Linked DNA regions of Canis lupus familiaris. The protein of the gene in region 1 interacts with the protein of each later gene in a pairwise test. Links are inferred from orthologs where the notes say so. Each region holds a gene or a part of one and is shown in the gene's direction. Other genes may lie near its edges.

Region 1 (4,099 bases):
TGCCGAGACGCTAGGGATGGCATGGTCCATCATTGTCTCGTTCCACAGATAAGCTGCTGCAGCTCGCCCAGGGTCACACGGCTGGGGTTCAAACCCGAGCCTGTCCAGCCCCAAGCCTCTTATCAGGAGACCGGCTACCGTGGGAGCAGCCCGGAGCCGGGCAGCCCTGGGACCTGGAGGACAGCAGGGAGATTCCTGGGCAGATGATGCAGGGTGCATTTCTATCCCGGGTGCATCCAAAGTCCATCCCTGCCTCCGACGTGCCGAGAGACCAGAGGCAGAGGGCACAAGGCTCCCCTGTCCCCAGCTTCCTGGTGTGCAAGGTGGCGGGGCGGGGGGAGGCCGCCGGCTGATGGCTCTGACTCAGGCCCTGCCGTGAGCTGGCGTCCGAGGCGCTGGGCCTCCCGGGAGAAGCCCTGCCGAGCGGCGCTGCCGACAGCCCGGGCACAGGGTGCTCTGCGTTACCGGGGCTCCCTGCGCCTCCAACGGCTCGAGCCATTTTTGTCTCCTTCTACTGAGAGGAAACCGAGGCTCGGAGACATTACAGCACTGGCTCGCGATCCTCCTCCAGGATTTTGCAAATCGGGGGCAGAGCGAAGCGAGTAACCAGCTCCCCTGTGGCCTCCCACTGCAGAGGTCTCCTCCCCACCCCCGCGGGGACCCCTAAAGTCCGGTATGCCCCTCACTGTGTGCACTCCAATGTAAACAGGAACCAGGCAAAGATACACGGATTCAACTGAAGTGCCTGCCCTTTGTTCTGACATTGTGCCCTTTCATGATGTTAAAAAAAAAAAATCTTTTCTCTTTTGAAGTGCTGGGCGCGGCAGAGGGTGGCATTTGGGGGAGACAGTGGTTGACTTTTTTACGCGACAAAATAAAAAGTTGGCAACTCCGAGTGGGTCTCTAGATTTTGTTTTGAAATGTCAGAGCCCCCCCCACCCAAGTCTCTACCTGGGAAGCACGGAGCCCTCCCCAGGGTCCCCAGGTCACTTCCTGGCACCACAGGCCCCTTGGGTCAAGGGTTTGGGAGGCCTGAGAGAGCCTGCAGAGAGGTCTGCTGACCTGTTGGGACAAAACAGGCCACAGCGTGTTGGTGGGAAGACCGCTGCCTCTGGAGAAGAAAGGCAGGGTGGGGGCAAAGTAATCTCCCTGGAATCTAAGGGGCTGTGGGGGAGCACACCTCCTGACGGGAGGAGGCCCAGCGGTCCCTGGCCAGCCGCTGTCTCTTGCTTCAGTCCCTCCACTCCCCTGCTCCACGGGCACAGGGGACAGTGGGGGACACATCCCTCCCAGCACCACCACCACCAGGAGGGATGGGTGCAGAGGACCCCGATCCTGGGGACCTGCAAGCCTGCAACCACCCCACCCCCCCCCCAGTCCCCAGTACCGTCTGACCCCTTGATCCCTGGCCTGGTGGCCCCCGCGCAGCCTCCTGTTTGCCCACTCTATTTGTCCGGCCCCGGGGACAGGGATGATCCTTGAACTCTGAGTTCCACATGGCTGGGACCAGTGAGCAGCAGCAGCAAGGCCTGGGTTGGGCTTATCAGCCTCCCTGCCGGGCCCCTGCCCCTGCCCGGAGACATAAATAGGCGGGGAGAGCGGGCCCGGCAGGCTCCTGAGCGCCTGGTGAGTGCCGCTGCCTGTCCCCCAGCCCGGGCCCTGTCCCTGGGACTCCGGGGGCCTGGCTGCGGGCTGTGCCCTGCCTGGGGACCCTCTCCTGCCCCAGAAGAACGGGTGGGGGCGCACAGGGCTCCTCCACGCTAACGGCCGCCCCACTCACCAGGACCCTCTTCTCCCGCAGGTCCCCTGTGTCCCTTCAGGATGAAAGCCGCACTGCTGACCTTGGCCGTGCTCTTCCTCACGGGTAGGTGACCCCAATCTAGGAAGCCCACTGCTGTGGGGGCCCTTCTCCCACGCTCCTGCGGGCCACCCTCCTGGGCACTCCCGGACCCCTCACCCCTGCCTGCAAGCCTGGCATTTCAGCCCCGATCGCCCTCTGGAGCGGGCCTGACCTGGGTCTCCCCTCTCACCCCCAGGGAGCCAGGCTCGGCACTTCTGGCAGCAAGATGAACCCCAGTCACCCTGGGATCGGGTGAAGGATTTAGCCACCGTGTATGTGGACGCAGTCAAAGACAGCGGCAGAGACTATGTGGCCCAGTTTGAAGCCTCCGCCCTGGGAAAACAGCTGAAGTATGGACCCAACCTGGGGTGCAGGGGGCAGGGGTAGGGGTGGCCGGTTTGGGGGGCACAGAGAGGCCTGCGGGAAAATGCAGCCAGACCAGCCGAATCCCCACCTGCTATTTCCTGGGCCCCCACTGAAGGCCTGGAGAAACGGGAACGGGATCCCCCCAATAACCACCGTCTCAGAACTCGTTTTAGGGAGAACAGGGACGGAGCGCCCAGCAAGGGGTTAGATCCGAGCAGGTGCGCCCGGCAGCGCGCCCCCCACCCTTAGCTCCTTCCTCCTCTGCTCCCGGCCAGCAACCCGGCGGCCTTCTCGGAGCGGACGATGGACTGGAGTATAGGGACTGGTCCTCGAGGCCCGGCTTTGGGGACGGGCAGCACGGGGCACCCGACCCAGCCCCGTGTCTCCCGGCTCCTCGGTCCATCAGCACCGGGGCACGCGGCGCGGGGTGCGCGGGGTGCGCGCCAGAGGCTGCCCTGGGGGAGGCGCCCGGCGGGGGCAGCTGCTGCTCGGGCCTCACCGCCGGCCGCCGCGGGGAGCCGGGCCCGCAGCTCGGGCGCTGTCCGGGGTTCCGCGGGAGGCCAGCCCTGACGCCCTCGCTCCGCCCGCCCCTGCAGCCTGAAACTCCTGGACAACTGGGACAGCCTGAGCAGCACGGTGACCAAGCTGCGCGAACAGATCGGCCCGGTCACGCAGGAGTTCTGGGATAACCTGGAGAAGGAGACGGAGGTGCTGCGGCAGGAGATGAGCAAGGACCTGGAGGAGGTGAAGCAGAAGGTGCAGCCCTACCTGGACGACTTCCAGAAGAAGTGGCAGGAGGAGGTGGAGCTGTACCGCCAGAAGGTGGCGCCGCTGGGCTCGGAGCTGCGCGAGGGCGCGCGCCAGAAGCTGCAGGAGCTGCAGGAGAAGCTGAGCCCGCTGGGCGAGGAGCTGCGGGACCGCGCGCGCACCCACGTGGACGCGCTGCGCGCCCAGCTGGCCCCCTACAGCGACGACCTGCGCGAGCGCCTGGCCGCGCGGCTGCAGGCGCTCAAGGAGGGCGGCGGCGCCAGCCTGGCCGAGTACCACGCCAGGGCCAGCGAGCAGCTGAGCGCGCTCGGCGAGAAGGCCAGGCCCGCGCTCGAGGACCTGCGCCAGGGCCTGCTGCCCGTGCTGGAGAGCTTCAAGGTCAGCCTGCTGGCTGCCATCGACGAGGCCACCAAGAAGCTGAACGCGCAGTGAGGCGCCCCCCCCCCCCGCCCCGTCCGTCTGTCCGCCCGCCCGGCCCTCGGAACAAACGCTTCCCACGCGGGACGCCCGTGTCGGGCGCGCGGGTTTGGAGGCCGCGGCTGTGATTTTTAAACAATAAAATGTGCTCCGAACCCTGGACGTTCTTTCTTGGGCGGAGGGAGTGGGGGGGGGGGCGGGGGCGGGGGGCCCTGCGGTGTCGCGGCCCGAGGGCAGCAGGCCCGGGTCCCCGCGAGGCCGCGCTGCGGAGCCAGGTCGCGGGGCGCCCTCCCCCGGGGCGGGGCGCACGCAGGGGCGCGGAGGACCCGTCCGAGGGGCGCCGCCCCGAGCCCGAACCTGCGAGCTCCCGACTGGGACTGGGACCCGCCGCAAACAGGGCAGGGCCTCCGGCAGCCCTCGCGCTCCGGGCCAGCCGGGGAGGGCCTCAGGGAGCCCCTGGGGCTGAAGGATGGGCCCGGCTCCCGCGAGGGCTTGGCCTTTGCTCCTGCCTCCTTTTTTTTTTTTTTTTTTTTTTAAGATTTTATTTATTTATTCATAGAGACACACAGAGAGAGAGAGAGAGAGAGAGGCCGAGACACAGGCAGAGGGAGAAGCAGGCTCCATGCAGGGAGCCCCACGTGGGACTCGATCCCGGGTCTCCAGGATCACACCCCGGGCTGCAGGCAGCGCTAAACCGCTGCACCACAG
Region 2 (4,507 bases), on another chromosome or scaffold:
GGGGCCAAGCCCTCTGAGCCACAGCTGTCAATGCACGGCCTGGGATCAACCGTGTCTCCCCCTTGAAGAACTGAATCTTGGGTTCTCATGGATGAAGACAGCAGTCAGGTCTAGAGATGGCACCAGGGCTGGAGAAGTTTTGGGGAACAGAGCCTGGCAGGGGGTGCTGTGGGGCAGAAGCTGATCCCCCTCAGAGATTCAGAGGGGCAGCCTGAAGTCCAGAAAGGGGACAGACAGAGAGCCACCCCTCCCTTCGCCCCAATGGTGCTGAGCCATTGAATGTTCTTGGCTGTGCCTCGGTTTCCCCATCTGTAAATGGAAACCCCTGTAGCTAGCATGAGGAGGAGGAGACTGGAAAAGCCAAGTCATTCTTCTATTCCGGTGGGGTGGGGAAGGAAGGAGAAGAGACCTCTGGGTGGATGTCTGGGGAATGCTAGGCTCGCAGGGGAAGCAGATGTCTGGGAAGGCAGCTGGAGGGCTGACAGGGTCTGGATGCACTGAGCCAGCCAAGGGGTTGTCGCAATCCTGCCAGGGTCATGTCTGTGCGTCCCTTTCATAACCGTCCCCTCCCACCACCACCCCCAGGCTGACACGTGGTTGTGGGGGCACAAGGCCAGCCAACCTCAAGTCTGAGGCCAGGGCCACCCTCCCCACAGCTGCCAGGGATCACTGGCGGTCAAAGGCAGCCAGAGGAAGGGGGGAAGCATTGGACTCCAGCCCTGAGGGACGGATGTGGTGGGAGGAGAGACAGGGGAGGGGGGGAGAGCTTGGTGCCAGGAGGGGCCCGAAGGGGCAAGGGCAGATGCACTGTTTACCAGGGGGCCCGGAAGCTCGCAGAGTGGGAGAGCAAAGGGCTAGGAGGGGCCTGGTGGAATGGATGGAGGCGCACACCCTGGGATCCTTGCAGCTGGGGTTTTGCAGTTGAGACAGGTTGCAAAGATTCCTGCCCCAAAGATCGATGTGCATGGGGCAGGGGAGGGGGCTGTGGAATGAAGACCTCAGAGCACATCCGTGGAGGTCTGGGATGCTCCCAGATGCAGAGAGGTGGGGGGCTTGAGGGCTGGTCTGCAAGTGAGACTGGAAGTGGCCAGGGTCTAGGAATGTGGGGGTAGACTGGGTGACCCTGGAGTCATGGAGTTGGGAGTTGCTTGCGCTGAAGAGGCTTGCTAAGAAGAGAAAGGGGATGGAAGAGGAGGCCTGGAGAGTTCCAGCAAATTACAGAGATGCTCGGTGACAGAGAGACCCTTGAGTTCAGCAGGAGAAACACGCCCCCAGCCCTCACATGTAGGGAAGGGACTATGGCAGGCTGAGATCCACCAACAGGGAGATTTAGAGGTGCAGGTGCTGAACAGCAAGTGGCTTAAGGGACAAGGGATGTGCCCAGGCCCACCTGACCCCCGCAGCCCACCAGCCAGGCAGGGAAGAGGAAATGGTGGGTGGGCACGGGAGTGGGGGGAGGCCAGCGGCCCGGAGGCTTAAGGGGAGGGATTAACCTGCCCCGCCTCCACCCCAGCCCGATAAAGGCCTGGGCCAGGCCAGGACCTCCCACCTGCGCTTTCCGAGACCGCTCCAGGTTGGTGCTCGATACCTGATGCCCCTGATGCCCCGGGAGGGCTGCCCCTCCAAGAACACTAGAAAAGGGGTGGAGGGAACTCCGGGGAGGGAGGAGGGGTGTCACTGATCGCTCCCACCCCTGCTTCTGCTTCCAGAGAGCCCCTCCGGCCCCGCCATGAGGCTCATTCTGTCGCTCCCGGTTTTGGTGGTGGTTCTGTCGATGGTTTTGGAAGGTAAAAGCGGGATAGAAGAATCTGGGGGTTTGAGATTTGGAAGCTTGAAGCTGCCTACGTGCCTGGGCTCCAAGCTTGGAGGACGCTTGAGAGCTCTGGGGCCCCTTCTGTGCCCTGGTTTTCCTATCTCTCACCAATCACCCCACCCCCAACCGGGCAAGGTGGGTGAGGGTGCTCTAAGGGGAGGGCCGGCAGGTGGCAAGTCTACCTCAGGAAGCCCTAGCAACAGATGATGTATTGACTTGCCCCTCCAGGATTGGCTGTCCTGCTTTTACAACCTGGAAAGGGGAGGGGGAGGAGGGAGGCCTGACAGTAAGCTAATTCCCGGCAGCTTGAGCTCCATCTGGTCGCCTTAGTCCATCTTCCCCCCTCCCCTTCCCAGCCTAAAGCCATGACCTCCAAGAATCATTTAAAGATCTCCTTTCCCGTCCCCAGAATCTCAGCCTGAGGCTTCCCAATACTGACATTTTTGTAACCCTGCCCGTCTCTGGGCAGGTCCAGCCCCCGCCCAGGCGGCCGGAGAAATCTCCAGCACTTTTGAGCGCATCCCGGATAAGCTGAAGGAGTTTGGTAACACCCTGGAAGACAAGGCCCGGGCAGCCATTGAGAGCATCAAGAAGAGCGACATTCCTGCAAAGACCCGGTTAGGAACCTTCTCAGGGTTTGGGAGGGCTGGGGTATATCATTAACAGATTGGGGAAACTGAGACCTGGAGAGGCTGACAGCTTCCATGTGGTCATGGCTGGATCGCAGGGTGCCCAGATGTGGGGGACAGGTTCCTGACTCCTACCTAGGCCACAGTGTAGAAGTGGTCCTGTGAGGTGGTAAAAGGCCGAGCTTGGGTGTCGAGTCACCCCAGGTCCACAGGCTAGCAAAGACTCAGTTCTCTTTGTGTGATTCCAGAATAGATCTGGATGAGCCTTCTTCCTCCTCTGTTACATGGATGGTTCTGAGGAGAAGTAAACTAGGGGATTTGCATAGTGCCTGACACATGGTAAATGCTCAGTATGCTTTTTAACCAACAGTGACTCCATTTGGCCACTTAGATTAGAGGATCATTCATTCATGAACAAGTATTTATTGGGCATCTGCTAAGTGTCCAGGATTGTTCCAGTGTGGGGAATAATAGTGATGAATGAGATAAAGTCCCAGCCCACAGGGAACAGATTGTAAACCAGTGAATTTCCAGCAGGTCAGCCCAGACGGGGCTAAATACTGAGAAGACAATAAACAGGGTGGATGTAGACAACCAGTGTGGGGCTTGAACTCATGACCCTGAGATCAAGAGTTGTATATAATACCTCCTGAGCCAGCCAGACTCCCCTTTTCATATCTCAATTTAAAGTGTTATTGCTTCAGGGCGCCTGGGTGGCTCAGTAGGTTAAGCTTCAGACTCTTGATCTCAGTTCCAGTCTTGATCTCAGGGTGGTGAGTTCAAACCTACATGAAGCCTGGCTGTCTTACTTTAAAAGAGAGAGAGAGAGAGAACGAGAGAGAGAGAGAGAGATCTGAGTGATTAGGAAAATCCAGCCAGGCCTAGAAACATGGGAAGAATGTTCCTGTGGAGGGTGAGTGCAAAGGCCCTGAGCCAGGAAGATATGAACATAATCCAGGCCAGGGACACAGCCTGGGCAAAAAACAAGAAGGCTGAAGAGTGCCCCTGAATAACTAGGGGACAGCGTGCCAAGAGCAGGCTTGGTAGCAAGAGATAGCAAGCCTTGAAAGTTGTGCCCAGGGTGGAGTGTTCTGACTTCAAAGGGCTCTGGCCCATCTGGGAAATCCAGCCCAGGGCTCCTCCCAGTTCCACAGATGTGGGAACCATGCTCTGTCCTTGGGGGAAGGGAAAAGGGAAGATGGGGGAGGCAGGTAGGAGGCAGGATTTGGGCCCTCTGACCTGCCCTGAAACACCAAACTCAGTGACTCCTCCCCCATCTCTCCCTGCAGAAACTGGTTTTCTGAGGCTTTCAAGAAAGTGAAGGAGCATCTCAAAACTGCCTTCTCCTGAACACCAGGAGAGCCGCCCCTCTACTCTGGCCTGTGTGCCCCAGGAGGGGGCTCTGAAATTTCCCATCCCCTGGCTCCTTGCCAAGGACTTCATGATGTTCATGTCTACCCCCAACCTCCAATAAAAATCCTATAGAGAAATCTGAGTGGTCTTTTGCTGGGGGGGAGAGGGGGCTGCATCTTTTGAGGAGGCAAGGATTCAAATGTATTGAACGTTGTCTACTTGACCTGTGCCAAGGACTTTGAACTTCATGGTCTCAAAAAAATCCTCACAAGAACCTCGGGAGCAGGGGCCCTGTTAATTCCACGAGGGCATGGGGGCCCACAGAGGTGAAGTCACTTGTCAGGAATGGGAGAGCTGTTTCTCTGCTATATTCTTTCCCGACTGGGCTGCCCAAGATGAGGGACCGGGTTGGTTCAACACCATGAACAGTAGGTCTTTATTATACTTAAAATGGATGATGCCCCTCCTCCAGGAAGCCCTTCTTAGACCTCAGGCTGGGTCATCACTGCCTAGTAATGGGTCTGTCTTTCCTACTGGATTGTGAGCCCAGGAGGACTGGGCCAGGACGTCATCACCACTGTCCCCAGGCATAGTCCCACACAGGACTGGGCATGGTGTAGGCGCTCAGTAATACTTGGTGGAATAATTATTCACAATCCGAAACAAACAAAAACCCTAAACATTACCTTTTCACAAAACTCCCCGTAGGTGG

The links.
Region 2: the proteins of APOA1 (region 1) and APOC1 interact in a two-hybrid assay, tested with the Homo sapiens proteins (2 studies listed by BioGRID, with this or other methods). The link is inferred for Canis lupus familiaris from reciprocal best matches to the Homo sapiens genes APOA1 and APOC1.

What each region holds. Positions count from the first base shown.
Region 1 is NC_049226.1:16,767,411-16,771,509, forward strand, and holds APOA1 (apolipoprotein A-I), read left to right. Parts: upstream 1-1,533; 5' UTR 1,534-1,626; intron 1,627-1,801; 5' UTR 1,802-1,821; coding exon 1,822-1,864; intron 1,865-2,036; coding exon 2,037-2,190; intron 2,191-2,802; coding exon 2,803-3,406; 3' UTR 3,407-3,546; downstream 3,547-4,099. UniProt on the Homo sapiens protein: Participates in the reverse transport of cholesterol from tissues to the liver for excretion by promoting cholesterol efflux from tissues and by acting as a cofactor for the lecithin cholesterol acyltransferase (LCAT).
Region 2 is NC_049222.1:111,228,291-111,232,797, reverse strand, and holds APOC1 (apolipoprotein C-I precursor), read left to right. Parts: upstream 1-1,547; 5' UTR 1,548-1,573; intron 1,574-1,709; 5' UTR 1,710-1,729; coding exon 1,730-1,787; intron 1,788-2,282; coding exon 2,283-2,430; intron 2,431-3,731; coding exon 3,732-3,792; 3' UTR 3,793-3,932; downstream 3,933-4,507. UniProt on the Homo sapiens protein: Inhibitor of lipoprotein binding to the low density lipoprotein (LDL) receptor, LDL receptor-related protein, and very low density lipoprotein (VLDL) receptor.